Linked DNA regions of Lepisosteus oculatus. The protein of the gene in region 1 binds, or shares a complex with, the protein of each later gene. Links are inferred from orthologs where the notes say so. Each region holds a gene or a part of one and is shown on either strand. Other genes may lie near its edges. The genes, in order: gabbr2 and kctd16b.

Region 1 (16,843 bases):
AACCAAACAGTTTTCTTTTCTATGTTCTATTATAAGACCTAAAATCTGTGCTTCTGTTGTAACTGACTCTGTAGCAGCAGTCTCTTTGAATGAAAGGGTTTCCAAAGAGGATAATCAAAATGAATAAAGTAACATTTAACATTGTATTATATACTATGGTATCATGCTAATGAAAAATGTGCCATCCCCAGTCAGGAATCAGGCCTTCATTGATGAATTTGAGAAATAATAAAAGTAATTATTATTATTTGTATTATTATTTTTATAATAATTATTATAATCGACCTACCTCTTTATTTGATTGATTTAAGGAAAGCGTCCATACTTTTATCTCGCATATTCTCTACAAAATTCCACACATGTGTTCTTTAGGCATCAGCAGGATTCACATAGAGTTTTGACTGCCAGACTGTCATATAGATAAACAATGTAGAGTTTTCTCCTTTGTTTGGCTTAGACCAGTGGATTTATTTTTCTTTATCTCAGCAGTCAAGTCTGGTAAGATAGAAGAATGCAAGATACTATTTCCATTAAGAAAGCAGTGGTAATTCTTTATGAACAATATATACGGTATTGTAACTGTGCTTACAAATAAATGTTCCGGACTATACTTTTTGTTACGGAGTGATAGCAAAACTGAACCACACATCAGATAAAGTATTATAGGCCTCTGGAAGAGGGATGAGTGACATTTGTAATGGTCTGTAGCTAATGCATCTCCCTCAGAATAAACAATCTAAATAACCAGGTGTAGATACCCAATGCTGAACACATATTGTTTCAGAGACAGAATGATCAAGAATGATTTTTCCCGAATACTTAAATTGTAACCTAATTTATTCACTCATTGATTGTCTATCTATTTGAAAGTAAGCTTTCCATTTTTAGTTTTTCATTTATCCATCCATTTTCGAAACCCCCTTATCTGATACAGGGTTGTGGGGGGGAAACGGAGCCCATCCCAGCAAGGACATGAGGCAGGATAACACTGCATGGGACACCAGTCTATTGCAGGGCACACACAGACATAGACTCACACACACTAACACTTGATTCAATTTTCCCAAAAGCCAATTAACCTACCAGTACTGTATGTGTTTGGACTGTGGGAGGAAACTGGAGCAGATCCTTAGCCACAGAGCCACTGCACCGCCCGAGATAAAGGTTTGAAAAATGTAAAGAATTGTGGAGAGGTGAATCCTGCACATTTTGGAGCTGAACAGTTTAAAATGTTCGAGTATAACATTTCAGTTACAGTATAAACGTTGAAAAAATTCAGTTACTGGACACATGCCTGCTGAAGGCCAAGGTCAATATATTGTTTTTCTGACACATGCACTGTTTATCTGAACATGTTGCAAGTCCTAAAATGCCATTTTAGTGTAATTGTTATCATACATTTTACATACATACTGTTGCCTATGACAGCAAAGCTTTTGTACCAGGGGTACTGTATATTTTCATCCAAAACCTTGCATCATCTAGCACCTTTTTCTTTTGCAGATACAGCAAGCTTATTTGACCAACACCAGTAGTTGTTAACAATGGTGTCATTTAACAGTAGAACAGTTTGGGAGGAAGGCTGTTCTAATCTAGCACATCTTCTCTTGCACCCTTTCCTCGACTTTAGCTTCATCACTGTAGCAGCTCCCAGGTCTCTGGTTTCCTCTGGGAAGTGAGAGGGGTTGTAATGAAGTCCATCTCTGGCTAGCGCTGTAGTTGACTCTTCCAGGTGAGCCAATGCCAAAGTATTAAGTATGCTGTCCTTTAATCTTCCTTGTCTAGTTCTGTTAACATCGTAATGGAGATTCTCCAAACTATCAACAAGGCTGTGATTTATGCAAAAAACGTAGTATTTACCAACAACAGCTACTGTATGAGAGGGTCATGTGCCATATGGAGTTTTCTTGGTTGAACATGTAATTGTTGTTGCAGTATATTGATGTACTGTACATACAGGTTTTGTGCTTTACCCTTTATTGGTTCAGGTTCAGCAATTTGCAAAACTGATGCCTTTAGTGAAGAAATAAAAGGCTTGCTGAAATGTACAGTCCCACAAAGGAATAACGGAGAAAAAAATGGTAGTATAGCTATTACATTCCTATCATGTTTGACTTCTGGTCTTTAGAAACTGAAACGATGTATAGAGTTTTGCACCATGAAGTTAAGGGGGGAATGAACAAGCAGTGAAAAAGGCTTACCTGTCAATGCTGCAAATGCAAGAAAGTCTTTCAATCAGTCATCTGTGATCTCATCCATCTCTTTCTTGAAGAAAATCAGGGTATCAGCTTTCAACGAAATGGCTGGGAGGCTTGTTCCAGACTCCCACAGCTTTGTGCAAAAAGTTGTCCTCTTGTTAATTTTAAATTCATCACCCCCTTTGTTTCCATTTGTGTCCTTTAGTTCTTGTTTCACTAATTTGAGGATGTCCATGTGATTCACTTTGTTAGTTTTCATTTCAGTCACTTTGGCCAGGCTTTGTAAGAGATCCTGAAACAGACTGATGCAAGTATAAGATATCCATATTTTCACTTTCTTTTTGTGAAGATATGTATATATTAAAGCAGACTAGGATAATCATAACCAGCATAAAATTATACTGATCTACAGTATGCATATGGAGAACTCACGCACCAGTGGAAAACTTGCATTAGGGATGAAGTAGCCTTCGGAGATTCCCGCTTTTTAGTTGTCTCAGATGCAAATCATTGTTGGTAATTTAGCTAAATGAACTAAATGTAATTTAGTTCAATGAACCAGAAAAATGACTTGTTTGCCATCTTAGAAGATTCATCCTTAAAATGGCATATCAACCTCACTGCATTTGGAAATTAAGAAATTTAATGTGATTTTCTTGACGTCATTTTCCTGCACTCTCTCTACTTCCCAATTTATTTGTGGAATTTGCTCCAATTTGTTTTGCTAGTTGGATATGAATTAATTAGTCTAAAACTTCATAGTTGACATATAATAATGGATAACAATAAACTTATGTCTACAGTTTGGCCAGTTCTACTGAATGCATAATTAAGGGGGTGTTTTTCAAAGTCATGTTTTCCAATAAATTAATTAAAATGTATGAAGTGAAGTTTTTTTATCCCAATTCCCATGGTTATAACTTTTCATTTCAGAAGTGTGATAAAGCTAGGTTTAAGTAATAGTATTATATGTTTTGCAACCACATCTGTTGATATACAGCACTCAATAGTTAGTGTCTGATAGAGGGGCTCTAGATTAAAATATTTTTAACTGGTACAGCTGCACGTGTAAATGGAATACCTTTTTTGCTTTAGTATGAGGCTAGAAAACCACAAAAGGTAGGAGAAAATGGGACATAGTGGTATAAAAATCAATAGCATCTCATACTGTATTTCAGTACTGAAACCAAATAATGGGAAAAGTAGAATGGGAAAAATCAATTGATTTTTCACTACATTAATCAGAAATCTTTGTTTCACATGTCTCACTGATGATTGATAACCAACAGCCAACCATCCTAATCTCACAAGGGTTTTTGCCAGACGTATTCCAACAACAACAATCTCATTGTACAATTACATAAAAGCTTTGAATTTATTACCTCTTTCAGGGTAATTGTCTTTTTTTCTGTTTTAGAAAGAAGTTGTGTCCAGCATTTCTATTTATTCCTGCATGCTCAGAGGTGGCTTTATCTTGTATCCTTTTTCTGAGTCCTGCCCACTATAGATTTGTTTATATTGGTTCAATGCAGACCCACAAAAGACTTATTGGTAGCCTTTGACAAGTAGAAATATATATGCTGACCACTCAGATGGAATGGAAATCGCTACAGTACCTCATTCATAACAACTGTGAAACAATGAGACGGATCTTTTCAGATCATTTGAACCCTTTTCAGTCTGTCGTCATGTAAAAGATTGCATCTTGAATTTACCTACATTTTCATGAGTAAGGATAGATTTTTTTCACACATGATCATTTTTCTACTAAAAATGATCTGTTTTTAATTCTGTTGTTCGGGTTTTTCTCAATTGTGAATACAAAGAAAACTGAGGGTATGACACTGTAGCCACTTGCTCAAAAGTCATATCAGCAAATCAGTATCACTAACCATGTACAGTATGTACAACTTAATTCCAATCCTTCTTCAAACTAGCTTGGCCGATGTTTTAACATTGTTAATGACAATTCTTACTCTTGAATTTCTTCCTTTTCTTTACATACAGTTCTTGTTTACCTTTTCAATTTTTCTTTTATGGAAATCAGCCCCCAACCCCCTTTCATTTAAGAAGCTATTGCAATTATTTGGGCCTATAATCAAAATGCACATCATAGCCTTGAAAAAATAGCAGCTCAGCATTGATACGTTTTGCTCGTCCAATGCGCAATATTCCCTTCAATTGCACATTTACTCTCTCTTGACACCATATGGATCCTACCTTAATGAAACTGTGTTCATCCTTGGCAGCCCACAGACTGGTTAGATTCCTAGGGGAACACAGCATTAAAGGATATTTCAACGACAAACAGACACAAGGATTAGTGTTATTGATGGTACCCCTGGGAACACTATGCCACTAATAGGGGCAGTGTTTCAATGATAGGCTACCCAGGACTTCTACACCTTTGACTGGAGCTCCTCTGAAATAAGAACATTAGAAAGGTTATAATAATAATAATAAAAAATGTTATTTTAGATAGCACCTTTAAAGGTGGCTTCTCAAAGCACTTTACAGGATGACAACAACAATAAATAAAAAGAATACACAAGATAAAACACAATTACAATACACAGAGGAGACCATAGATGGTGGTACTAAGAAAAGCAGGGGAGTGAATAATGGAACCAGTTAAGTAAAGGCTTTTCTAAAGAAGAAGGTTTTGAGTCTGGATTTGAAGGAGTTTAGAGAAGGTGACTCTCTGAAATCCTTGGGCAGGGAGTTCCAGAGCTTGGGGGCAAAACAGGAGAAGGCCCTGTCACCCATACAATGTAGATGGGCTTGGGGGACAGTAAGGACACCAGAATTAGAAGAGCGAAGGTTGCGAGGTGGGGAGTAGGGCGATAATAGTTCAGACAGGTACTGAGGTGCCAAGCCATGCAGAGCTTTGTACTGTAGGTGAGCATGAGGATTTTAAAGTCCAAACAGAATTTGACAGGAAGCCAGTGCAAGGACTCCAGGATAGGAGTAATGTGACCATTTGCACTAAATCTGGTCAGGATTCTGGCTGCTGAATTTAGGACATACTGCAGTTTGTTCAAAGTAGATTTAGATACCCCAGCAAGTAGAGCATTACAGTAGTCAATTTGAGAGAAGACAAATGTGTTGATCTGCTTTTCAGCCACAGTTAGCGATAACATAGGACGTAGTGTGGAGGGCATCTATTTTATAGCATGGCAGCCTATTTGGTAGTCAGTGGTTAATTAATGCAAGCAACTCATTCAGCTCTTTCTTAATGTGCTTAGCTTCAACAACATCACTGGGTAGTTTGTTGCAAATTCCCACAACCTTTCTGGTTTTTAAATGTATGTCTGAATAGTTTCCATTTGGAACATCTGGCTCCTGTTTAATTGTTGGTTCGCTTCACTGTTCAAGACTAAAAAAGTTTCATTCCTTCAGTCTGTCAGTTAAGGACATTTTCTTTCAGTCTGCATCTGGTAGCTCTTCTCTGGAATGATTCCACAGCAGTAGTATCTATTTTATAACATTGTGACCAACAGTTTATACAATATTTTAAATGAGGTTTTACTAGTGTGTTAAGAATTCAACATAACATCCCTTTTTTATTTAAATTCTATGCTTTTAACTATACATCCTCGCACTTTGTTTGCTTTACTGCTTCCCTACATTGTCTGGAAGATTTAAATCATGTGTCAACGTAATAATATTAATATCATATATCATAATATGTATTCATAGTTCACCTTTTTAATTCTTTTTCAGATTCATTTGTTTACCTCTACAGTATTTGCTGTACCGCCTAATTTGGTATCATTTGAAAAATGTAGTCAGCTAAGTATACCGAAATCTAGAGATTGATACAAATTGAGAAAAGTATTGGTCCTAGTACAGATACCTGAAGTCCTCCTCTAATTACATCACCCCTTATATGTGTCTGCTTTCTATTTAATAACCAATTCTCAATCTAAACACTGAAGTGTTCCCGAATGTCTACAACCTGCAATTTGAAAATTAATATTTTATGGGGATAAAATCTTTTTGAAAAGTCTTTTGAAAATATGAATACTGTAACTCGTATCATAGGTCTGAGTGTACCTTACTCCGGTGTTGGTTAGGCAAGATACTGCTAGCATTACTGAATTCCTGTTGATTATTTCTATATAGATGATCCACCAGGTTAGTTCTTATGATTGTTTCCATTACGTTACATGTAACAAATGTCAGATGTTTTGGTGTGTAATTTATTTTTGTAAGGTGTTCTCACTCTTTTTATGGATTTGTACTACATTTCCGATTCTCCAGTATCTGGGTGCTGCACCTGCCTTAAGCGACTGTTGGAAGACCTGCCAATGGCTTCTGAATAACATCTTTTGTTTCCTTGGGTACAATTGGTAAGATACCATTACACCCTGGGGATTCATTTATCTGAAGTACTTCTAGTATCTGAAACTTCTAGTATCACTCTCACTCTTCTATCCTAATACTAATACAAAACTTTGTCCTTCTGCTGACTGAGGTATATTGTTTATTTCTTTCTTAGTGAATACCTGAGTAAAATGCTCTTCTAGTACATCAGTCAACTCCCTTTCATTGTCTGTAAGTTTCCTATTTTTTGTCCCTTTTATATCTAACTTCATAGTAAAATGTATACATCCCTACCGTTTATATACACCATCTATAAAATGTTTTTAGGACTCCTATTTTATTCATCAGGTTGTTTACATCCTTATAACGCTATACATGTAAAAAACGTACAGAATAATATCTAGAACGGACATTTACACTGTAAGTTCTGTTGTGTGAATTTATCTTTAAGAATTTCAATATACATTTATTAATTTAATGTTTGCTTTATTTGATGTTAGGCGCCAGAGAGACAGCTAGCTTCGGAGCAGAACATCTGAGTTTGCAGGTGACAAGAGATCGAAAAGGCAGTTGAATCGCTTTAACACTCCAGGGACAGAGAGATCTTTCTACGAGTAGAGTGTGAAACCATATATTCTGCAACTGCCGCACTTACAAAACGAGTTTTTAAATAAACGTATTCAGAACACAGATTTCATTTTCGAGAGATGAGAGAGGATCTGTTGGTCTCTGCTCTTCTGAAGTGGACGCGCATCTTAATTCAGCACCTCGGATAGCAACCTCAATGCTCTGCCTTTATTGTCGGAATAGCCCTTTTCCTATCATTTCGAACTGCTTTTCATTATTAAACATAAGTTGTTCGCTGTTTTCTTTGCATTAACAGTGTATTCGTTCTTTAGTTTCAAAGTACTTAAATCTTAAACATTTTCGAAGGCATGTTTGTACATAATTGGTAAGATATTTAACCAAGAAAGGTTTAATTTAGTACCTTACAATTCTACAACAAACCTCAACACATATTTCAAAAACACATTCAACAAAAATTCAGTGTTTTTCGTATATTATTGTTCGTCACCTAAGCTAAATGGACGAAACATTCATTGGTTATCATAGGCATTAGACATGTAGTAAAATGTCTGATATATTTTCTAGAAAAATAGGGGTAAAGAATTATGACTGAGATGGCCTTTTCATTTTATGATTATGACTATAATTTACTCATATCATGGTCTGAATGTCACAATTCCTAGAAAAGTGTCCAGTTATCGTGAACTGCTAGATGGCAGTGTTTGTATAAACCAGAGCCTTCTAATTATACCCTTGCGTCTGGCAATTTAATAAAAAACGCTTTTCCATCACACAGATGCTTCAAAATAATTTAAACCATTCAGGATTTATTAATTTAAACCTTCAAATGTTTAATTCAAGTCAAATTTTAAAACAACGTTCGTCTGGTAAAACTGGTAAACATTTTTGTCACAAAGCAACTGTCCATGAACATTTTGGGTCAGGTGCATGCATGATAACCTGTTACCATATCTGATAATCGGATATAATGGAAATCTGTAAAATTACGCTTTTGTAAAAGAGAATGTAAAATATCCTAACAACATGAACTAATCAGAGCTTGTGTGAGTGCTTGTCTGGAAAATGTTCAGTATCTGGGTAGGAACAGTTCAGTTGAAATCCATTCTTAGTTACTAAAAAAAGACCATATTACACGCAGTGATTCAACACGGTGCTCTTCTGCGTAAACAATAGTAGCTCTTCCCAATACGCTGAAACCGTAGTTTACCATGCGTGTCAAACAGCCAACGATGAGGTACGGGTCGGTTCGGACTGCGGTGCTGTACGCGCTCTCTGATATCTCTACTTGAACATGAAATCTAATTAAAGGCGTTTAGGTTTACGCGGTGACATTTTACTAGTCTATTATGCCAGTAAATAAAAAACAATCCAAGACGCTATTACAGTACCTTTCTCTTCTAGGCAGCTGGTGATTGCATGGGAACGGGTACCAACAGTTCCCTCGAGGTTTTTTTTTTTAATCTCCTGCACAGCTCGCTCTCTCTCGCGCGCTCTGATCAGCACAGGCACAGAAGACCTGTTCAGAAGCACCAAGACAGCAGCAGCAGCAGCACGACTCAGGCTTGGAAGGAACGGACTCGATCACATCTCCTCACTAGAGCTGCTGCTGCTTGCAAGATTGCTTTTTACTCCCTTTTAGTAACAGCGTTGAATTGTCCCCCCTCTCTCCTTCAAAGAAACAGGGCACTGGCAGGAATGCAGTATCCGCACTCTGATTTTTTTTCGCCAGGAATACTTTCGGATACGGGATTCGTTTGCATATCCAAACACTCTTACTGCAAGTAGTTCAATAATATTGCTTCTTCTTTTTTTTTTCTCCCCTTCATCACTTTGGATTGTGATGTACTGCCCTGATTGTGTCGGTATCTGGGAGGTGAAAGGAGGGATCGAGTTGGAGAGACTTACAGATTAGCACATACTGTACTGCTGTGGATCACAGACGGCAAGGAAGGGGAAGTGAATCTCTTTCGTCTGTTCACATCTGTGAGAAAATCCCCGTTTTCATCACATCGTCACTGTTTTTTTTTCTTACATCTGGAAGGTGCTTAGGGAGAATCATACCGAAGCGCCATTAAAAGAAGATTGCACCTTACCGTGATACCCTCACCCTAAAGAAAAGGATATTTTGATTGCATCTCTGCCTTCGGCTTTTGTTTTACTGTAATTCTGTATATATATATTTTTTATTTACAGTTGGGTGTAGGATCCACCATAAACGCGCAAAATAGGAACAGTTTGCAATGCCAGGGCAGTGAAAGGGTGCATCTATTCCGTCGCCCTGTTCAGATAGCATGGCTTCATCCCAGAGGAAATGCAGCTTGGAGATGATTGTGGTGTCGGGATGCATGCTTCTGTTTATCTTGGGATTCCGACCTGTTTTTGCACGAGGTTGCAATGACAACGCTGGGCACAATTTGGACAATGCGTGGTATGCTAAAGACGGCAAAGAGTTGCCCATCATGGTCTTGATGCCGATGAATGAATCAGCGCTTATGAGCAGTATCAGTCAAGGGATCGACCCCGCTGTTCAGCTTGCCATTCAGCATACGAAAGAGTCCGGGAATTATTCTTTCTCTTTGATCCCCAAAATCTACGACACTGAGGTAACTCGCAGTGTTCTGTTCATTAATATGTCGTTGGTGTTGGTTGACGGTTACAGTCATGTCTACATGATATAACACTGGCGGGGAACTATGCATGCACGATGAACTGCCAGTGATGCAGGTACGGTAGATTCATGTGGAAACTGGATTCTGAGATGGGTTGGTACACCTGCGCTGCACACCGCAGCCAGATCTTCTTAGTATTGATGCAGAAAGACTTCAGAGATAAAATAGAACAACGTGACATCCTATCCCCAAAACAAACTAATCAAGAATGGGACTGAATCCACACTACCGGCCATATACCCTATACAGTACCTAGCTTAACACAGAATAGATAAAAATAAAATACCTGCGCAAACGTCATGGCAATTTCAAAATCTTGGGAATTATTTTGTAGATTACTTTTGGTTAAAATAACTAAGTGACATGAAAAGAGACTTAAATAAACCGAATACAGGTTTTAATTTCTGTGAGGAATGATGTATACAACACATCGAAATATTGTTAATGGAAACGTTAAAGCACCGCAAAACAGAAAGGAAACATTTAACTTTTCTTCCGTTAATCGATGTAGAAACGCTGATGTTTTCAATTGCAATCAATTGCTTAATTGCAACCAATTATAGACATTTGTAAAAAAGATGTCTACATTTGCAGGGATTATAAAGTCACAATGCTTTCCTACAGTATAGTATATGCTGGTGCATGTCGTATTTTCAATATACTGTCCTTTCAAGATCCTTTTAGTCATTTTAATAGATATGAATGATTCCTGTAAATTCGAGTGGCTATGAAACATTTATCCTTTTATCGTACATTAAGAACGTTGCTTAAAAATTACTTGACTTTCTTTTTAATGCCAAATGTGCTGTTTACAGTGGACGCTTGCCACCTTCATCAATAATCTATTTCAGTCACGATTTATATTATTTTGTCACAAGCTTGCTGCTAATTTTGTTTACCTGAAGATGGCAGTAATTTCTTGTTCAAAATCTTTTCTAGTCTAGCCAGCACATCATTGTGAAACCATCAATATTAAAAGTAATCGAGAAATCTTGATCTCCTTGACATTATTATGGTGGTGACTTTTTAGAATATTTCTGCATCGAGGAATCGGGCTATAGCACATTTTATGTAACTTTGTCCATCTGTTATTTTGATTATGAAAAACGGGACGTACTGTAAGTAATTCCGGCCAACTTCATTCACCAGAGAGATGCCTTATGAGACTTCTGTCTCAACAGATGGTTGGAAAAATATCACAGGTGATTAAAAACCATGACGAAGTTTCCTCATCAGAATAACCACATGGCCATCGTGTTTAGAATGACTGGAGAGGACTCGTTTCCTCTGGAAATTATCAGCATCGTAGAATATTTTTGCTCATTGCACTTACTGTATCTAGTGCTCGGGTAAAATGGAAATTTTAGGGCCACATTATCCGATTAGAAGATTAATACCATTACGAAAGAAATATATACTGTAGATCACTTTTTTTAATTGATGACATTTATCACAAATTTAATTCTCCTCACCCAATATGAAGGTAAAACTGATCTAAAAAAGAAACAACACATTTTTTTAGTTCTCGACATTGTCACAGTGAGCATAAATGACTGAAAATTACTGAAAATAAACCATTGACCAACAAAAATTAAATCAACCAGTCAATAAACCAATCTCTGATCTGGTATGTAGTCGAATTGAAGGTTTTTTGCAATGTTAGCTTTCCTTGCCATCTTTATTATTACAATCCAATTAAGTATGTTTAATGAAACTTATGTTATGGTTGTGTAGAGCATTTTAAAGGTGCAAAGGAACATAATTACCTTTAATTTAGTGGAAAGGCAGTCTTAGCCAAAAAGCATTTAATAAATGTCACTAAAAGCTCACTTGAGGTCAATTAAGAAATTCATGAGGTATATGGCCTAATTGTTAAAAATGCAATCATTATGGTAGTGGGCTTTGAAAATCTAACAGAAATTGACAGTGCATGGAATGCAAAGGTGTTGCTGAAACTTTTCATGGCTTAGTAATTACATTGCATTCTCTAGGAACCCATGCCGTTAAATTAAATATTCTTTATATTCCTTTGTCTGTTTTGTTCATCATTAAGATTATTTATAACGTGTAATATATTGGATACTCATCCAGAATTGGATCTTTGTCTTGGGAAGGGGTGAACTTTAATGGCTTTGAAGGCTTGCAAAATGAAATTCATTTGAATTCCAACAGTATTGGTACATGTCCAATATTGAGTACAGTAATTAGCCCGTAGTTTTCCCAGATAAATTGCAATTGACATTTAGCCTGTCAGTCCTGTACATTTGAAATACCTATTAGGAAAGTGCAGGTCGGACTTAATCCTAGAGGTATGTTTTAACAGAGAGTGCATAGTTCAGTGGATGGAAGTGGGTTAATTTAATAAAATGCAAACATTTTGAAAATGGATGAGTTTAGAGTTACAGTATTTATTCCTAGGCTTTTCTATCATGGACTTTACTCCAAAAAAAAAGTACAGAGGGGCTAAGAATCCTGAATGTGTGACTTACAGTACGTTCCTTTTCAACCATTCCATCCATTTTCAAAACTCTTCACCCCAGTCAGGGTTGTGGGGGAGCCAGAGCCTATTCTGGCAAGCAGAGGGTGCAAGGCAGGGTACACCCTGGGTGGGATACCAGTCCATCACAGGGTGCAAACACAGACACAAAAATTCACACCAGGGCCATTTTTACCAGAAGCCAGTCAACCTACCAGTACGTGAACACAGGGAGAACATACAAATTAAACACAGATAGCACCCCAGGCCAGGACTTGAACCCAGGTCCCCAGTGCTGTGAGGCAACAATGGTCACCACTGTTTTAAGATAGCAGCTTTGTGCCTTTTTTATTTTAATACCACAGAACCTGAAGTTGGTGAGAATTCCACTCAGAAGCTTCATGAGGGCATACTATTCAAGTGCGCGATGATAGTCTTGCAATGTTCACTTTACATATCGAAGCAGGAGAAAAATATGGTTGCAACATGGAAATCTAACATTGACCTGATCGTGAAGAATTGAGCAATTCTTTTTTCAGTTTGATTCTGACACATCTGGTAGCATAGTCTAGAATTTAAAAAAGGCCATGTAAGTAGGCAGGGTGATCCAAACTCTTCAATATCCCTTCACGTTCTGCGTGTTCTTTCATTTCAGTTTATCTTCCGCTTCTTTTAGCTTGAGTTTTCTTTTATCAGGATCACCTTTATAATCTTCCTGTACACTGAATTACTTATTGTCGCTGAAAACAAAACCCGCAGACTGTGATTCATATGCCTTGGGATCTCCACACAGTGTCCAGTATCTACAGGTGTACAGTATGTACAGAAAAGTTAATTTGCAGAGACAAGATATACTGTAAGTACCACATACCAGGTACTCAGCAATGCCAAGTAGATGTTGCACATGTTGGTTTCTGTTCTTCTAGCTTTCATACTGTATTTGACAACATGTGGTGATTACTGGCTTTGTGTAGCATCTATCTGATGTATAGCTTGGAAGACCATACAAGTCCTGTTTGTTCTAGAGGTAGTTCTAGAAAACACATACTATCATCAGAACAGTGCATACTACACTCAACAACTCTGCCGGTCACATAAAGTCTCAGATGACTCTGTTTTAGTAGCTTCAATTGATATGTGGGGGATTTAAAGAAGAGGAACAGGAATACTAGTCATAAGGTTAGACCTACAGTAGATCACAGAAAACAAACCTTTTAATTTACATCTAAGGTTATGGACTGGTTGGTAGCTGTTCCTGTTGCAAAAAGGATTTACTATACTAATAAGTGTGCATTGACTGTGGACATTGATTTTCTACTAGTTCCCACAGAGGAAACATGCATAACATTGTGAATTGGAGCACGGGATGCAAAGTTGTAAATGTGTCATGTTATCAGAATCATGAGGAATGTAGCAATAAAAAACTAGAAAGAACTACAAACATTTGATGGAGAAGCTCACTTGTTTAATAACCAACAGCCTGTAATATCACTATATAAGTAAAACATAGGTTTATTGCACTGTTTTATTGTTTATTGAGTCAAAGAATCTCAGAAGACTTCATCAATGTGAGAATAATTCTATTAATATAACTATGGGTCTAAAGTAATTTTTTATACATTTTAAGGAGCCCCGGGCTACAATACATTATCTCCTGTGATTTTCTTTCCCTATTCACTTTAGAAACTCTGAAAGGGGCAAATGTTTGTTTGGTGTCTGGAGATTATTTGCAGACTAGGGCTGTTTGTTCTCTAAAATCCACCCTTGGCATCTTACACTGACCTCTCTGCAGCCCCAGGGAATTATAATTAACATTCTATTGCATTATGTCTAAAACATTTACGCTTTCTCCTAAGCAAAACACATTTTGCTTTAGAGCGATAATTTACTGAAGAAATACATCTCCTTAATATTCCCAAAGAAATGTGGCCCAAGCCGAATTCAGATGTACAAATGATACTCGTAGATTAATGTATAAAACATAAAATTCATTACTTTGTGTTGAATAATATTGCTTAGAAATCCCAGTGCTGATTGCGGTGATTGACCATAAAGTGTAACAATGTATACATGATTTATGTAGCTTCTCATTGCAGATATTGAGCATGACAGATTAGTTGCTGTACAGATCCCGGCGATCAATAAGTAGTATCAGAAGCTGTGTGTTCATTTTTATTACTCTTTTTCATCAGGTAATCTAATTGAAAACATTCGTATTCACTAGAAATGAGATCCATTTATACCTTAGCAGCAAGCTGTGGGAAATACCAAGTTAAAGTGCACAACAGCAGCATCCCACAAATCTCTGGGTGGGAATGTAGAGACCAAACCACTCCTTCACTTTGCTCTTCTATGTTTACGGAGGTAATTGTGGAAAAATATGACCCCTGAAAGCTCAGAATAAACACGTCTACCTGTTCCTTTAATTTGACCATAATGCCAGGGACTAGCTGCATCATGGTTAGTAATGATCAACCTCCCTTTTTAATTGAAACGATAACATACTGTAGCCATACAGCTGTGTATAAAGGCAGACATGCTGGTAGCTGCAATACATTTACAATAATGCAAACATCACAGGATTAAGATACATTTTAGAGGTGCTTGGTTAGCTGATTTCCTGTAAGTGTTGCTTTAAAACATGTCTCAATGAAGAAAGTATTAAGGTGTAAGATAGATCTTAAAGGGTTATACAGCCATCTTCAATTTTATTGTTTAGAATGATTCTACAGCAGTCTGCTGTGTCAAGGGTATAATCCTGTGCTTCGTTCTTCATTCAATTTGTGTGTGAGATCAGGCCTTTCACAAATTCCCGTGTTTTGCCCTCCAGCAAAACACAATCCTGCCTGTTTAAAGAGGTACATACTGTATTTATCATACACTGATTAAAATGCCTCCATCACCTCTGAAATGTTTAAAGGTGTGGAGATGTTACATTGCTTTTATTTGTCCTGGTTTTAATGCAAGTAAATCAAAGGAATGCAGAGCTATCCACTGGCATTTACTGAACTGGTGTGCTAGGCAGATTGAAGTAATCAGCCCTGAGCAGCTCTTTATCCCTTAATCACATTCTCAGTGTATTCTCTAAGGGACAGACCCCCTTGCGGGACAGAGTAGCAACAGGCTGCAGGAGATCAAGCTTAAAGAAAGGCTTTAAGGGCTTTTATTCCCTGGAGACACACTGAAACGGGGAGACGTAGCAAGAACGAGGGTGCCAGAAGGTAAAATGGATGCCTGGACACAAGCGCTAAAGATTCTAGTTCTTTTTGTGTGGCTGAGGGGGCCCAAACTTTGCGAAAGTCCCCACACTCTCCCTGTCATGTGGATCATGCCCCTCACCAACTATCCTGGGAGAGGCAACCTTACGGCTGAGGTCTTACCAGCTGTCCAACTGGCTCTTCATCACCTGAAGAAACACCCATCTCCGTTTAAGAATTATGAAATCCAGTTTCATTTGGAAGATTCCCAGGTAATTGATTCCTTACGCATTATTAATTATGTGCTGCAGGCATTCTTATTATTAAGCAAAGGGAAATACTTTGTGGTTGAGTTTTCTGAGAAGTGCCTAAATGATCAAGGTGTCAAATACTGTAGTTAAATATACTGTGTGTACATATAAATCTCAATATGCAAATGGGCATTTTAAATTTAAGAAATGTATCTCTGTGTTTAACAAAACTTCACTGTACCAGAGCAGCTTGCATATTTGACTTTTCCAGTAAATGTGAGGTTTGAAAAAGTCCATTTTCCTTAAATTGCTTTAATTGAAGACTGTATTCTGTTGTTGTAGAGCAAATACTGATCATTAAAATCAAGGAATTTGGCTGTAAGGTCGGATTTTGTTGTAACTAACTGATGAGTGAGTTATTTCCATCAACTACTTTATATGAAAGGAAACATTGGTGATTTCATCTGTCTTAATGAGGGAAATGCCCATTTTTTCCATTTACCTCAAAGGACTACATTGGCTTAATTGCAGGTTTACAAAAAGTCTTATTTGACATCTCTGCCTTTATCTTTTCCACAGGTGTCATGGTTGTGTTTCATATTGTATTAGATTGTCAGGCTAAGCAACTGGCTATGCAATGGAGTAGGTTGCTGGGTTGTTAGAGTGTAATTGTTTGATATTGCTATTAAAAAGCTGTAGCAATAAAAGTAAAAGCAATAGTAATTAGAACAGGATTAGTGAAAGAATATGCAGTTTCACATACAGTCATTCTGACACTTTCTGTTTATCTATAGAAGTTATTACGTGAGGTTGAAGGATTTGATAACCTATTTAATTTGACTCCTTTTACCAATTGTGTTTTTCATGTAGAGGACAGAATCTCTTTATTATGTATAGTAGTAAAAACCTAATTACAGCTTTATACTGTCAAAACTCCTAATGGATTTACTTTGGATCCTACATTTTTGAGATGCAAAAAGTTGTGCTCACCAAGGCTATCAAAGCTTCACAGCATGCAGGAAGTGACAAGCGTTGATCTATGTCCAAGCTGCATGTTGTCATCTATCCTTTAAAAGTTAAATCATCACCTTATTTGTTAAAGGATATTTAAGGTAACCCATTAAGACAGGTGTAAGTG
Region 2 (16,739 bases), on another chromosome or scaffold:
TGCAAGTTTTGGCATAATGTAACTTAACAAAATGGCATACATCATCAATAGACAATATACAGCATGAGCAACCTTGCTAGGCCAGTCCATTCATTGTAAAATAGCTTCTTATTCTCATTTTATCCAACAGAAAAGGCGAATAAGTGGTTTCTTTACAGAGCATAAAAACATTTTTTTTTATAACAGGGCATAAAAAAGTTTTAATGTAATAACACAGTATGCACAAAATGAATTTGCTCTTTTGGATTAATACAAATGTTCAGTTTTTGCACATTTTGTTCACATGTTATTTCAGGCATCCCGATAGCTGGCAACATCTCGCTTTTTTAACCTTGGTCTGAAGCTCTTACCAACAAATGTGTGGGTGGGCTGATATATCCATGCATTTGAGACTGTGAAAAGATCTATTAAGACACAAAGATCGAGTATATAATGAATGCAACGGGTCCTCTAATTATTTCAGGGCATTAGATGTGTTCTAATAATCTGATATTGATTGTCATTTTGATTTCCTGGTTGGATATCAGAGTGGATGATATTTAGAAATATTGGCCGCCTTTTTTTATAATTATGAGGCATTGTGGCATGCACATTAGCTAGTGTTCAATATAGCATTGATCTTCCCTTTGCAAAAATAAAATTGCTGCTTTCCAGTTGTTGAACCTAAGTTAAAAACGTTTCCCGTCTTTCACTAGTACCATTTCCCAATGCTTTTTACATTATAATATACTATACTTGTATGATTTCACACTTCTGGAAATTTCGTAATTTGTTTTCTGGCATTTTTTTGGGAGTGTTTTATCTGTTCTCCTTCATTGCAAGAGGACTCAAGTGCCTCGGGGGAGCTGTACTTTTCAAAACAAAAGGCCAGTTCTGATGAATTACTAAAATTATGGCCTGCAATCAGATTTATTGATTGAGAAAGGCCACTCTTGTCTTCCCTGTCAGATTATCAAGTGTCATAAAAATGCAGCCTTAATAGTGCCCTGGGTAATACACTGGGTGGTAGGTGGAAGCACTAATCCTCCTTATGAAACTATTTACTGTAGGTTTACATCATATTGACTTTTCTATCTTGTTTCAGATTTTTTTCAGAAGTGAGGCTATTTGCAGATTTCTGCTCTGTGAACCAGATGGATTATATGAGCTGCAGCCTGGAGTACAGCTGGGATTCGTCACTGCTCAATTGCTTTAATGTATTTTTAAGTTAAAAATAGTAGATATATTCATATAGAAAAGTAGTGAATACTGTTTATTTATTAAATTACTTCTAGTGTGTTTTCTCTTTCATTTCCCAGTAGACTAATGTCAGTTTCTACCACATTTTCATGCAATACACAATTGTGCCCTGTTGATTCTTTTCAGTTTTAGTCAGTGCCCTATCTGACAATACCTACAGCTGTGAGTTCCACACGTTCTGCAATGAGTCAGCCTGACATTTCTTGTCTTTGCAGTTAATATAAACACAGTATGGTGACACCTTTAATTAAGATTTGGAAAATGACCTTGTATAAATGATACAATTCTCATCCCATTAGCACTATTTAATACATTAGCAGCACCTTTTATGAATGTAAACACTCAGAAATGTGTTAAGTTAGACTGGTTAAACAAGTCAGGTTCATGCACATTGCAATTAAATCACTAATACCCACTGAAGATCAATCCTCTAACAGTGTTAATCTATAATGCTTAAACTACAGAGTCATCTTTAGTTTGTTCTGACTAGCAAAGCTAAGAGCATGATATACAGTAGGTGAGCTTCTTACTAAGAAAAAAGGAGATGTTTTGGCACAAGATGATGACATGATTTACAGTGTCTTAGCTGTACACTGGAGTGAGTCCTCTGACTGTCACACTGAATGATTAATTATCAATCATTATAGCTATGAAACAAATTGGTAAATAACTGTGCCTTCCGGGAGATGTAGCCCATGCACCAGCAGTGAGGACTCACTGAAGCCTGTAAAAAGCAACTGGTACTCTGCACCAGAGGTAAAGATCGCCTGGCAGTAGGCAAAGCAGCTGAATAGAGAGGGAAAAAGAATTTGTCACTCTGTTCACCAACTTAATTGTATGTCTAAAAGCTCAGAAAGCCTGATCTTTTTTAAGTACAAAGTTAACCACAATGTTATATGGATCACATACATAAATATTTAGAAATGATGCCAATATAAGCTCATTTTTTGCTTATTTTTGTCATGAAGGTAATTTTATAGTTAAATCATAGGTTCAAATGCTTTGTCAGTTCCATATAATTAAAACTCATGTTAGAGTTAATTACCAATGTATCTCTAAGAGGTTTCTTTTTTGAAGGTTTGGAATCTGGTTGTAACTTAGATTCATTTTATTTTGAAATGATGGGAAAAATAAAGATTTTGGTTTGATTTGGAGTTTTGCATTAAAAATCATTAAAAGCCATTAAATTGAATTACAGTCCGACAGAACACCATAATAGGTGGCCTTCAGTGTTTTCAAGAGAGCAGTCTGAGTCAAAACGTATCCATTAGGCTTTTATAGTACAGCTTCCTGCCTAAAGCTGAGGACTGGAAGATCTTATCAGAGCAGATGGAACTATGAATGGTGATTCCTGCAAAGCAAACTAAATTATGCAATTCTAACTGGATGGATGACAATGTGGCTAAATGTTATTTCATAAACTGAAAAAGAACAGCAAAATACTAACTATTCTGCATATGCAGGAAGGAATAGGGAAATGTGTTTGAAATTGATGTCCCATCTCAAATATCATGGTGCATTTATGCATTGTTTTCCCTTTACTTTGACATGGTTTCACAATGTTTGCAACATGACAATACTCTGTGATTTACTAGGAATTAATTGTGCTGTCTACACTTTGCTCTGATTTTACCATATTTCAACCATTTATGCTGGGGTGTGCAATCTTGGTCCTAGGGGGCAAGTGTGTCTGCAGGTTTTCATTACTATTCAGCTCAGAAATAGCAAAACCAGCTGGTAACTGGTTTAACTGGACACAATCAAAAGCTTCTCCCAGCTCTTCAGGTGCTTCTACTTTAAGGAAACCAAGAATCAAAAGAACCAAGATTGAACGCCCCTAATTTATACACTGCTTTTTGATTAATTTTTCAAATATATTTCCATATATAAGAAAAGAAAGAAAATGAGCTAAATTACTAGACAAAATCATTGGAAGAACTTTAAACCCTGCTATGGAGTATAAAGATAATTATTCATAATTAATATGTCATTTGTGTGCATTAGCTGACATTCAGCATGTAGTATCTATAGCTGTGTGAATGCTTTCCTGTAGTTAAAAAAACTAAGTATAACCATGAAAATTCAGTGTTTGTCATGTTTATTAATAATAAACCATTGCTGATTTTCATCCGAATTCTAGCTAACTGATTTCTGGCATAATTTAGAACCAAGGTCCAATGAAGCAATGTAAGATTTGATGTTTTTTCCACCTTCTTAATAGAATTCTGGAGCAATAATCACCAAGTGGTTTAAAATCTCTGAACATGATATAAAAACTTACAAACTGGTGAGTTTTATATTATGTTAAAGGGGATCATTAAAAATGGGTTGCTTAGCATCAAAATCATCAGTTGCTAAGCATTTGACATACACTTTATTCAACAATTGATTTTAAACAATACAGCAACTGTAGTTTTTTTAACAGATCATTCATTTTGTGTACAGTTATTTCATCCTAAGAGGGCAATGTTACTCTCACTCCATATTCCAAATTTGTGTTGCTCAGGTCTCACTCAGAATTCCTTCACTATCCACTGGGACTCACAGCCAAAGCCACAGGCTCAAATCTTTTATTTTTCAGTGTGAAGCATGCATCCTAGGAAGGAAACTTTGCATTCACAGAATAACACATATGGTTTATATTTGTGCCTGGTTTTTTTATCTGTTGTCCATCATTCGCACAAATATTCACCCCTAAATTGGTGTCAGTAAGGTCACAAAGAGTGCATAATTAAAAAAATAACATGTGAACTAAGTAATTAACAAACCATATGCCTGCTCCATCTCTAGTCCTCAAAAAAGCCTTGACCCACCAACTGTATTTTCTTTAGGTTTTCCAAGGGGAGGTATTTTGAATCACCAACAAAGTGCTTTTTAATTGGCCATATGGCGCTATATCTCTCTCATGTGAGACACCAAAGAGGAAATGAAGAACTAATGATGAGGGGCACTCATGGCCAAACTTTGTCATCAGTCTCAGCAAAACACTAACTGGAACACCAAAATATGCAGGAGAGAGTTTTAAACTGAAGTTGTTCAAGTGTCTCGCATCCTAGTTTTCAATCAATCTTATATATGTTATCAAGTTACTATAACAATTTAATAATAATATTATTTAATTTCTGTGTAAGAGAATATGTAGTGTTGTGCATGATTATGATCATGGAAAGGAAAATGGAAGGAAGTGCAATAACAAGTTAAAAATGAAGAAACCAAACATTTATCTTTCTCAGACTCATAACATTTGCTTATATTCCCAAACTTAAAGAAGTCTTAGAGCGATGCATGAAGTAAGGCATCATGTAGACAGAAGTTAAGGAAAAAAAATTGTCTTTTTAAGGATATGACTTTTATTGATTTTTTATTTGAACATGTCTGTATGTTTAAATGTTTGAAATGGGGCTTGAAAAGAAACAATGTAAATTTGGAAATGTACATACATCTTTTTTACATCTTTGTTTATACAGTTGCTTGGAAATTTACATATTGTGAAGGAACTTATGTTCCCAACAAAAGGAATTACAATTTTATGCAGAAACAGTGAGTCATTTTTCAAATCTAACGTTTTTCATGGTACCTTTTCAGAAGTAATTGAAAATGAATTTTTATGAAGCTCTTTTTTGTAGTTAGGAGATCAAATTGTTAAGGAGATCAAGTTGTATTAGGCACAAATAAAACTCAAATTATATTTGCATCCTTACAAAAGTAGTCTCATATCGAAATTACATATACTGTACCTGTAGACTGCTGATTCTGCAAAGTTCAGACTCTGCAACTAAAGAAACCTTCCGAATTATCTCCAATACTGCAATAGAAATATAATTTGCTATTACATATTGATGTACATGTTATTATTATGCATTACAAAGCTTTTTAAATGTTGATTATGAGGATATTAAATAAAGCAGGTAAAGCAAAATATATATTAAGTACTTTGTTGTGTCCAAAGATAAAACATATTTTAAAAAGAGAAGAAACTGATGGAAAACCTATAAAGAAAATTACATTGTTGTTATAAATGGTGTTGGTGGACAAGCAGATGGTACCCTGTGGACTAGATCATCTAAAAAAAATATTCCAGTATGACAGAAGGTCACTGGTGCTATAGGAGGCCCCATCTTTCAGAAGAGGGCCCTGCCTAACACAGAAAATGTTAAAGGTCCCCTGACACTTTTATTATTAACAGAGATGTTAACCTCAGGATCATGGCCAAAGCCAGTACAGGTTAATAAAATATGGCCTGTTCAGGTTCTTTCAGCCTCAAATCAAATTAAATTCTGTTTTCTGACCATTTATGCCCTTCAACAATGGCCCAGATGTTACACTGCTGACCAAAACCAGGAGGATGTGCCCCAGAACAGTATAGGTGTGTTATTTTAGAAGTGCCCTTATTCTGACATCTTTATCTTCTTAGTTATGATAAAAAGCAACACAACCACTGTGTATATTGTATTGAGCATCTGACACAATACTTCAGACAATGTGTCCCGTTTGATCTCCATAGGGTTTCATATGGTTATACTGCAGGAATTTCTCAAGAGAGAATATACTGTAATCCTTGTGAGAAGCTTGTATAGACCTTGGCAGAAAACTGCATTTTTTAATTTGAAATCATAAATGTGACCTTTTCTAATTAAATGACTTCTATAATTGATATTACTGCCATGTAGTCTTAACCAAGGCCACATACAATTACATTTTACCATACTGTGCCTAGATGGCCTTTTTTTTCCTAATTGAGTTTTAAAAAAAAATGTTTCCACACGATTATCTGTGTTTCATTTCCATTGCTTTTTGACAGGAGAGTTCAAGCAACCAACAAATGATCTAGACTCACAATAGTTAGTGTCAGTACTTTGTTGAACCATAAAAAATTATGAGAGCTATTAAAAATCTCATAATGCTGCCTAGTAGTCCTGAAATAAGATGAGAAAAAGGCTGAAGCAACCAATCTAAATGGCAGCTGTGACAGCACTATTTAGAGAGGGGTGCTTCATAATGACTGTCGGTACGCAAAATTAGAAAAAAATGAAAATTGACACTTTGAAACAAATGTAAAGAGAAATTAGGATGACAAAAAAGGAAATTCATTTTTATTGTTTTTCAAGACGATCATTAAACACTGCTTAAAACTCAGAATCTCTTCACGAAGAACCATGGCAAACACACAAAATTTGTATATTTCATCTACAATACAGTTGTGTTGTGGCTCAAGAAACACTAGTTCTTCCAGACAATCACTACATTATAATACGGAATTAGTTTTTAAATGGTATCCTTTAACTGTTCTGTGAACATATTTCCATGAACAAAGCCAGCTTCAGTAATCTGAAATATAGATTCTCTTGTTCCTTCATACAGTTTAATAATATTTCTAAACGATGTATGAATATATCAGATATTCAGTACTAGATTTACTGTAATCTGTATTAAAGCACTCATGAATTAAAGTTAGAAACATATTATTCTCTCAGATGTAATCCCCAATTCATAACCATAGGAGAAAGACATTCATTTCCAGCTAACTTGCTTACATACTAAATAAGGGTTCTGAGCTTGGCTTGTCCGTTTCTTACATACAATATTTTCATATAAGCTACTGGAACGATTTTCAAGTTGTAGAACTCAGTATCAAGTACAATGACTAAAACAAGTGTGACTCCTAGCGGTGGCTCTTTAAAAAATCGGTTTTCATTTTAAACTATAAAGAACGCAAAAATTTGAGCAGGAAATTTACAAATCAAGAAAATTCGTAAAAAGAGTTCGTGGATTTTGCCCGGCTTGAGACGCAAGTAGTTTCATAGAATTCAAGACACAATTAAACCAATCGGCACACAAGCAAATCTGCACATGAAAGTCAGAATAACTGGACTTACGGTAGAAGACATATTCTGTGTAGCTGGACCAGATCTTGTCATCTGTGTATTGATTGACAAAGGATGCTGTCACCGACGAATTGCAGGCCACCATCTGGAATCCATACTCTGACAGCATGTCAAAAGCTCTCTCAAGGTGTTTGAACTTGAGATAAAACCGGGACGTGTATCTCTCTGGGGGTCTGTCTGGGTCCCTGCTCTCATTCAAAGTGTCCCCAAACACTTCTTTAGCTAAGGAAATCCTCCCGCATATCAAGATTCTCGGCACCCTTCTGAACTTGGCATCAGTCTGACTCTCCCTGCCCATTGTACATGACCCTCTGTACCCCACAGTGATGAACCCATATTTCCTGTCGGATGGTACTAATGATGATGGCGGACATATCCTTTGATCGCTCCCTTGGGATGCTTCTTCGAAATCACTATGAAAAAGGTCGTCCGGACTTTGCTTCAGGTCATCGGGGGTCAAAATTTTGACCAACTCGGGCAGCTGAAAGTATTCCGCCTCCCTCTTTAGTCTGCCTTTTTCTGGGAAGTGGTCAGGCAGGACGACTTGTTTGTCTCTAAGATAGTCTAACACGTACCGAAATAAAAACCCATCTCTGTCGATGAAGTACCGTCCCTTCGTGTCCCGTGCCAAGTCGTTTGAAGGATCCTTTTTAGGCGAGAAAATTTTGCCCAGTAGAGAATTAGGTATGCTAGTTAGGGTGGAATGACGAGTGAAATAAACTTGGCCACCCACATTTAGCTCTACAACATCGGGAAAAGAATTCTGAACAGATCCTTGCTCTTTGGTTTGCGGGTAAGTCCTACAGTTCCCACTCAAAGCCATTGTTTCAGTCATGCACACGAAAATCTTCGAGCCGTTGTCTGTACAGTAATACTTGACTAGAGGAGAGCTTTCCAAAAATATCGGTATTAGTGATTATCAAGCCAGAACATCACTAATAAGGAAAGAAACTACTTCACAAGCTGTTACAGCACTGGGTGAAAAAAAAAATCTTAGAGCCGTAAAATAAAAATAGCAACACATTCACTTCCCAAAGTGTTTCTGGGTAGTTGATGCAAGCATTGGTACAGCTAGATTAATCTCGTTTGATTCATTAAAAAAGAATGAAGGAGTAGAATTTCCAACAGATAACGTATGTTTTATTGGATATGTATAAATGCTTATAACGAATAAATTATTATGCATTTAAAATGCAAGGTATCCGTTTCTAGAATCTCCCCTAGGAGCATTCAAACTAGTTAAAAACGGGGATGGAGGAGGGGAATAACTCGGTAAGATTCCTCAGTCCGATATTAAAATGTAAACAGGCTATAGGTCGATAACTTCAAAAGCGCAGTATTTTTAGATTACTATGTTTCAGAGGCGACGACAGCTGAAGATATATCTTAAGATAAAGTAAATCCTCACCTCGGTCAGTGAAATAATATGTGGTTTCACATATTTCCTTATTTCTAAACACGTTATGTTATAAGTTCACAGCAACTTCATAGTCCTTGGGGCTGGGTAGAACACAACACTGGCGGTATTTCCAACTTATTTGGCGTGATGAGTGATTTGGTTAATCTTTCTGTGGTCCTTAGTAACTTCAGAAAAATTCCACTAATATGACGCAGTTCCACATGGAATTCCACCTTGATCGCCGAAATTTCGCCTCAATTCGATCTATCCGCAGTCAGAAGCTCAATCGGATCTAAAGCTGCTGTTGTGCGCTGGTGGCTGCACTGATGAAATTGGCTACTGTGTGCGCGCCTCTGTCTGAACTGCCCGAGCCGAGTGTGGAGATGCGATGATGCTCTGGGTGCCTTCAGAGCAGGGTGGTACCGAGTAAAAACGGTTGAGCTGATGTTGCTTCAGCAGTGCAGGGAGAAACCATCCTGGGGAATAAACTCTTACATCATCTTAAAGGAAAATGCTGTCTAAAATTGCCTTACCTCATCGTGTTTTTATTTAGGAAAACGTTCATTTCCATATTTCACCACATCCTACATGAATTAATTAAAAACTAATCTGAATGAATTATCGCGAATGCTGTAAATTAATGACAAATTAATTAATACTTCTGTGAATTTAATTATGTGTTCTCATTGCGTATCTTTACAATAATACATGATGAATCTATCATTTTGACTTAATGCTACAGTATCTTAAAAATAGCCTATGACCAGGGGAGATTAAAGTTACACTCGTTGACTACCGCTCTCTAACATTTTAATCTAATTATTTAAACAATATAATTATTTCGCATTCGTTACAGTTATTTTTTTATTCTTTAGCTAAATTAATAAGTGCTTTGGTGATGGTCCTGAAAGAGGACAGGGGTAAGTTGTAGACTTAAAAATGTGTACATTTTCAATATTTAATTAGCTATTAAGTACCTTTTGCCCGAGCGTTGACTGCGTTCTCGAATCGGGCTTCGCGTTATTTCAGCACCAAGGTCAGCAACTTAACTTTTGGGGTTTTTACTCTTAAGTTATTGGGGTTCACCGTCTGAAGCTAAGGATATTTTATTTTTAATTGGAAAAGGTTGAACTTTTAAAGAAAGAGTTTTTAATTTGTCAAAAAAACATGAAGATGATCCTTCACATTTTATTTTTCTCCAAGGCATCGGGGGTTAACATTCAGAAGTCAATTAAATACAACTATCGCTGATTTGTACTACATTATGCTTCGTGTTTATGCTAGTTCAGGGGTGCCTGTTTTTGTCCCTGCTTGAGTTGTCAATTAAAAACGTTAATTATTGTCACAGAAAGGTGTAAGAATTGTCTTAATGTTGTCTGCTATTATTTACTCAAAATATTCGCTTCTCTAATAGAACGGGTGTATGAATCACCTTGGCTCATAGTTAGAAGTAATGTATTACAATTATTTAGATAATTTAATGATTAGAACAGCTAAGTAGCTGAGACATTCAGTGGAACAAAAACACAAAGTCATAAACACAAAGGCCCTCCAGGAAATATGTTTGACCCTGCATTAGTTCCTCTCTGGTCTCACTTTTCTATTGGCTCTGATTGGCAGGACTTCAGTATAATTAGCCTCTTAATTGCTGGCTGTAGCAATATTATGTAATGGAGCAGATCAGCATAGACCACATCTTGATTGTTACGTCTTGCATTACTTTTGCCTCGATACCCCAGCAGAAAGTCCATATGGATACAGACTTGTGTGGTTACCCACAAAATAAGATGCTTCTATTTGTATATGCTTCTGTTTCTCTTGAATGAACAACCAAATGGCTCCTGTTTGAAGCTTGCAGACTGCTACAGTGAAATAATGCAAAGCATAAGATATTAAAAAGATATGATGTGTTTATCACCTTGGGCATTTTGGGTAAGGAAAAAACATAATAATCCAGATGTTGAATTTCCTCTGCTGCTAGTACTCTTATTGATTAAACAATTAACTTAAACAAGATTTCAATGAATTCAAAACTCTAATTGCTTGGTTCACATAGTTTAACATTTTCCACATTTGCGGTGCATGCAAAATAGAATTGTTAAATGTTTAACTGAGGGAAAAAGAAACAATTTATTCTCTTCAAACACCCTCAAGTCTGCACTCTAGAAAAAAGATCTGTGAGCCATTAATTTCTCTGCCTTCATCCTAATTTTTCTGGCGTTTTCAGGTTTTATACAAAAAGGATGACTGAAAGTCTTATCAGGAAAGTGTAGTGAAGCGTGTAAAGCCAGCTGATGTACAAGCACAGTTATGCTACTTTGAGCTATTCATTCAGTTTTTTTTCAATGCATAATACTGTATGGGCTGAAGTCATGAAAAAGATCATTTTTGCTTTTTTGAGAGCAGGGTGAGCTTAGAGTTGTACAAAGCATGTTAATATCGATTGTATATTTATAAACAACAGGCACATATTTAAAATAATCCACAATTTGTCTCTCAGAATTAAGTCATAGTTGACAGTCTAAAGTTTGCTAATTACTATTGTCACGTTTTCACTCAATTAATCAATTAGCTGATGTTAAAACAGCTGGATCTCAGGATAGCTCACTGCTTTACAAATTGAAAAAGGTTATACACAAACTGCCCCATGCACCAGATTGACACAGGATTTCTAATTCCACTTCCATGCCTGAGAGCGAATTCTCTCCTTTTGTATAGTAGACCTAACCATCTAAAATAAACCACACTTGTTATGTGTATAGACTAGGGGATTTTTTCTATGGTTAAAATTCAAATATTCTGTCTCTTTAAATAAAGAGAACATGTGTTATCAAAAGGAATAGCTGTTTGTTCAGCTAACAGTTATTTTCAGACTGCTATACTGGTAGAGGATAATCTATAATGCCACTCTGTGAAGGTATTATAAATTAAAGTTATTAAAGCCCAAAAGTTATTAAAAGTCATTTTTCCTTTGCCAAAGTGTCATAACCAATCTGACATTCTCAATAAGAGCAGATCTAATGCATCTTTGTATCATTTTTTTTTCCAATTTCAGATTTAGGCTTGTCTGTATATATTATATATTTGCTACAATATCAAATGGATTTTAAAATCCACAATTTTAATGTCATTATTTTTATCTTTCTCCACCTGAAAGATGGTGAAGTCCAGATTTTCCTTTCAGGGCTGCAGTCTCAGTTAAGTACATCAATCACCTTTATTAACGCTTTCCTTCTTGGGTTTCCTTTTGTTTGCATTTGATGAAGTAATATTCTACCATTTTCATTTATTGCAGTGTTAGAGCCTACTCGAGTGTGTCCTAGATTGAGGGACCATAAGTGTATCAAGAACAAGAAGCAACCATTTCACACAAGTAGCAACTTAATTTGCATCACAACTACAAATTTATATCATACAATTTCTAACAGTAATTTGCTGTGCAATTCTGTGCTGTCCCAGCACTGAAATCATCATCTTTCCTTCTGTTTTTGTAGCCATTAATTGTAATTGTGCAATGTATTGGGACAAGAAGAGGAATAGCTATTGTACAGCTATGAATCTGTATCCTTGTCAGAGAGTCAGCAACTCCTACTGTATATACACAGTATTTTACATGTTATTATTATTTTTTGTCTTTCAATCTGAGAAGGTTGAAACTGTAGAATATCAAAGAAGTTGGAAAGAAATACTCAGAACCCCACCTAGTGGTAAATAATACAAGCCTCTAATGATATTATGATGAAAATCTTTGCACTATTATTGTTGGTCTGTAAAAACTGTTTATAGTCTTCAAAGCAAGTTCTGGTATTGTGATATTTAGAAGCTTTCATCAGGAAGACTCTGAGCACAGACAGTAGCTGTTATTGTTGTTTTTACTGTTTGTGATAGTTTTTTTGGGTTTTCTCTATCAATTCCAAGTAACTCCCAACAAAAAAAATGCAAACAGTTCAATGAAGTTGTGTTATTATTTTATTCTATAAGTTAAGTCAATTGTCTGCCTCTTTTAAAGTCACATTTGGACAAGTCACATGAAGAATCTTTTCAAAATGAGTAAGCTACCCATACTCGATCATTCAAAAAACTCAGATTTCACAGATTTGGATTATATAAGAGTCGGCGTTACTTCTCTGACGCCAAGGAGTTTTGTGTAACAAGTTATAGCAGAGTGCCACTACCTGAGTTTCAAACTGTAAAATCTGTTTACATTCCCAGCCCTCAGTAGGTTATTTGATTAGTTGATACGCTAGCAAAATGTCATGTTTCATACTTTTATGTGTTGGGCTGGCACCAAGAAAAAAATCTTTGGGAATAAGAGTATTTCTGCAAATTATATCCTTATAGTCTAAGAGCTTAGTAACTGAGTGCCTGTTTGTGTCTTGAAATCCAACTCCTTCGTAAAGAACACCTGTGACAACTCAGCAAAAATATTTCATTCACTAGGTTAAATAGTTACAAAATGAAGCTAATAAAAGGGGTTGCTTTCTTAAATATTCATTAATTGAGGAAACAAAAGGTGTGCGAGCATATATAAAAACAGAAGTGAAATTTAGTTAAATAAGTGACATCTTATACATCAGAAACATTAACATAAAGCACTTTGTAGTGTATAATACAAAAGTAGTAGGGGTCAAATAAAGAATTACTGTATTTTGTCACATGACTGCCTAGCAGTAAGGATACCTTAATGCTCTAATGGAATATTGAGTAACTATTAAGACCACAAATGAGAGATTTATTGACTCCACCCCTTTTGTCTGCTCTGCTGGAAGAGGACATTAAGGTTTTCATCAATCAGGGGAAAAATACATTTCGTTTTATGGTTAATCAATCCTCTCTTTTGTCATGCAAAAAAATCTCTCAATATTCTTCTTTTTGATAACTCAGAAATATTTTCCTACTTAATTGCAAGAAGGAAAAGCTTTTATTTTTCCCCAAACTCCAAATTGTTGTATTTCATTTTTCTGCTTACTTCATATTGAGATGAGAACAGAATGTGCAGGAATCTCGGTGCAGTCATTTGTAACTAGGCCACTGCTGTAATCATAAATAAATGCATGCCATGTTTGCACATGTTATGTTTTTTTTTAAAGCTACTTGGCAAGGCAGCTTTGTTCTTACATCAACAGACCCAGCATGAGAATATATATTGATAAAGTTAAAGGTAAATTAGAAAAGAGATTTAGATCAACTGTGATGGAGCAGATTATCTTGCATTTTTGCAGAGTTGTTGTAATTTGCCAGTGTGCCTGACCGGATATCTTTTAGTTTGCTCTATAGAGTTCAACTAACATCTACTAGAAACAGCCTATCCAAATGAGGGAAACATCAAAGTAGATAGAGTAGCTCTGAATTTCCATCATGGCCATTGCTGGACAATATGTAAAATTATGTTTCTCATTTAATACGGTCACATGTCAAAGGCATAGTTCTTTATTGTTTTTCTGTACCTTGTCAATAAAAAGCTTGTTGAGGAGAAACAAGCAACTATATAATTTTGAAACATCTCAGAAACCTGTGCAGGAAGCAGTGTCCCAAAAAATTGGGAGCTCTGATAACTAATCGAGAGCTGAAAAGTGTTTCTACAACCCTCAATCACCATCAGTAAAGACAGACTCTGTTGAATATGTATTAATCCTATTGATGGCTCTTCAGTGTTTCTAGATTAATAAAGTGGGATCTTTTCAGAATTTTCTGCCTTGGAAGGCAGAAAATGTACAGTATAGCATATGAGGCCAAATGTTTAGAATTTACCCTTAGGGAATAACTTGTGGTTCATTTACAGTACTTTAAAACAGCCTTCAAGCAAGTTAAAGGTTCTGAAAAGATTATATTACTACACATTCATTAGTAAATGCTGTTCTGTATTAACAACATCCCCTAGCTCTTTTTTTCTAACTTTCTGCAGAGCCAAGACTTGCTGTTTGTGTTTTACAGAACTATACAGGGAACAGGGTGGAGAAAATGTTACTTTCTGTTAACCTGTAAAAACATGAAGGAAGTCTGGCACCTACTCTGATTTGTCTTCTTTAATTCACAATGTATTATTCTTCATCCATTTGCAGTGGACTGACTGCCATAATCCAGAGCTTCGGCAATAACTACCAGCCTTTGGTTGGAATCCAGTACAGCAAAACTATGCTGGGACTAATGAAAGCTCAGGTAAAATTGCAGTATGACCACATGATATTACATTTTGTTAATCTCACCTCCACTGAACCTCAGTGCTGTTTTTGACCCTGTGAACCATAACATTCGTTGTAGATTTTTCTGGCAGTTGAACGATGAAGGGTGAAAATCAAAATGCTTCATTGTGGCTATTTAATGTATAGTGTTCAAACCAACTTCAGTGCTGAAACAAAAACTCTGAAGGTATGGGCTCTCGTCAAACTCTTGAGGCACATGTCCAGCATGTCACCAAGACAGGTTATCCCGATCTCAAAAATATTACCCCATTCTCTTTTGTCAAAGCTTCATGCAATATAGTACATGCTATTTTATCCAGACCTGACTATTACAATACCCTATTTGCTGTGTTATCCAGGAACATTTAGTTACTCAGTAATTAAAGTTCTGAGCAGGTTTCATTCTGACAAACATATTAACCTTGTCTTGAAATACAATACTTGCGCTGGCTTCCTGTTGAATTTTGTATTGACTCTAAGATATTTTTCCCGATCTTCCGGTCATGACAAAAAAGTCTCCCTTTCTAAATTAGGATAGGTTAAGATATGTCTTTTAATTACTCCTGTGAGCTTTTGTGGTGTGAGGTCACTTCCATAGATTGGCATTCTGTCCAGAGTGTAACCCCACTTTGTCCCTTCTGCCTCTGGGATATGTCCTGGGCCAATTACCAATTGCCACATTACCAATAAAGTAGCTTCATGATGATGGGGGGATGGATGCTTTTGTTCATCAAGCACCCAGTATTACTTTGGAAAATCTCACACATTTTGCAAGTATTGTTCTACATTATGCAATAGCAAGTTATTATTTCTGATAGGAAACATAAAATCATAGCTATTTCAGACACTCACATTAATGTGGGCTCATGTATTTATCTCAAGAAAACAATATAATTGTGTTTTTTCCTCTGTAATATTCATAGGGTACTCACCGTAGTAATGTTTAGTGTATGCATCGAAATTAAAGGCACAAAAAAAATATCATCTATTTCCTCTGATAATGCAGATTATTTGGAAATTGCTGCCAGATTTACCCATCAGTGCCCTTATCTCTGCATTGAAGATATAATTTAGAGACTTAATTTAGATCTACTGGCCTTATGGCAGACACTCTGTCTCTGTAAAAACAGATCTGGAAGACAGGAATATAGTTTTCAACTAAATCATTACGAATTCATGTCTTCTATATGTTGCTATTATTTTGATTAATATTTGATCATCCAATGCAGTATTACTACTGACCCCCTAAAAACAATCTCAGACTGGATGTAAAAGGAATGCAGAATGCCATTTTCTTCTCAATATCACCATTCTTAATAAAAGTGTTATTTTTAAGATTGTGCTGTTGAAGAGCAGTCAATTTCCCCATGTGTTTTATGGCCACTCAAGAAAGGTACTGCACTGAAAAGTTGAGAATGTCCCACTAAATTATATAAAAGGACCTTATTTAAGAAGCATTAGAGCTGTCTCTGCAGATGCAGTGGAAAGCAGTAGAATAAGTACAGAAATCATTTAAATGCTCAGTGAAGAGGATGTTTTCCAAGCAGAACACCAGTGACCTTGCAAAGATCAAATGACATGCAATGTAACATGCGCTGTGCACAGTAAGAGTATTGAAATTGAACTAGTCTATAAGAAAATACTTTATGCACTTGAGATGCAGTTCAGAAGAGCTTTAAAGTATGTGTGTCTGATAAAAGGATGAAGAGAGTGTTTCAAAATCTCTTCAGAAGTGCAATGGGCTACCAGCTTCTGGATCCCTTCATAAATCTCAGTAATAGGTGGCTCAGGATAATCATGCATTAGTGCCACTGTTCTCCCATGATAATCCATCATAAGAAAATTGTTTAAATGATTCTAAAATACTCCTGCAAGCATTTGCCTGATAAATATAAGGTATTAAATCAAACGAAAATGAAATAACATCACTGTCTTCAATCCACACATTATTTACAGGCTTTGAAAACATCTAAACCAGTGTTTACAACCATTACCTTTTTTTCTTTTGAATTTATTTAATCCCAAAGTACAGAT

Evidence for each region.
Region 2: the proteins of gabbr2 (region 1) and kctd16b are in contact, whole or in part, in a crystal structure (PDB 6M8R), measured with the Homo sapiens proteins. The link is inferred for Lepisosteus oculatus from reciprocal best matches to the Homo sapiens genes GABBR2 and KCTD16. Residues at the interface, in NP_005449.5 of Homo sapiens: Ile882, Asn883, Ile888, Gln889, Arg891, Leu892, Ser893, Leu894, Gln895, Leu896, Pro897, Ile898, Leu899; in NP_001357415.1 of Homo sapiens: Asn30, Gly32, Gly33, Gln34, Val35, Tyr36, Asp64, Leu65, Ala66, Lys67, Asp68, Ser69, Arg72, Phe74, Gly79, Phe80, Arg83.

The regions. Positions count from the first base shown.
Region 1 is NC_090705.1:32,059,104-32,075,946, forward strand, and holds the start of gabbr2 (gamma-aminobutyric acid type B receptor subunit 2), read left to right. Parts: upstream 1-8,618; 5' UTR 8,619-9,403; coding exon 9,404-9,715; intron 9,716-15,430; exon of another isoform or gene 15,431-15,483; coding exon of another isoform or gene 15,484-15,726; intron 15,727-16,843. UniProt on the Homo sapiens protein: Component of a heterodimeric G-protein coupled receptor for GABA, formed by GABBR1 and GABBR2. Within the heterodimeric GABA receptor, only GABBR1 seems to bind agonists, while GABBR2 mediates coupling to G proteins.
Region 2 is NC_090706.1:25,279,484-25,296,222, forward strand, and holds the start of kctd16b (BTB/POZ domain-containing protein KCTD16), read right to left. Parts: upstream 8,969-16,739; 5' UTR 7,960-8,968; coding exon 7,116-7,959; intron 5,045-7,115; coding exon of another isoform or gene 4,977-5,044; intron 1-4,976. UniProt on the Homo sapiens protein: Auxiliary subunit of GABA-B receptors that determine the pharmacology and kinetics of the receptor response. Increases agonist potency and markedly alter the G-protein signaling of the receptors by accelerating onset and promoting desensitization.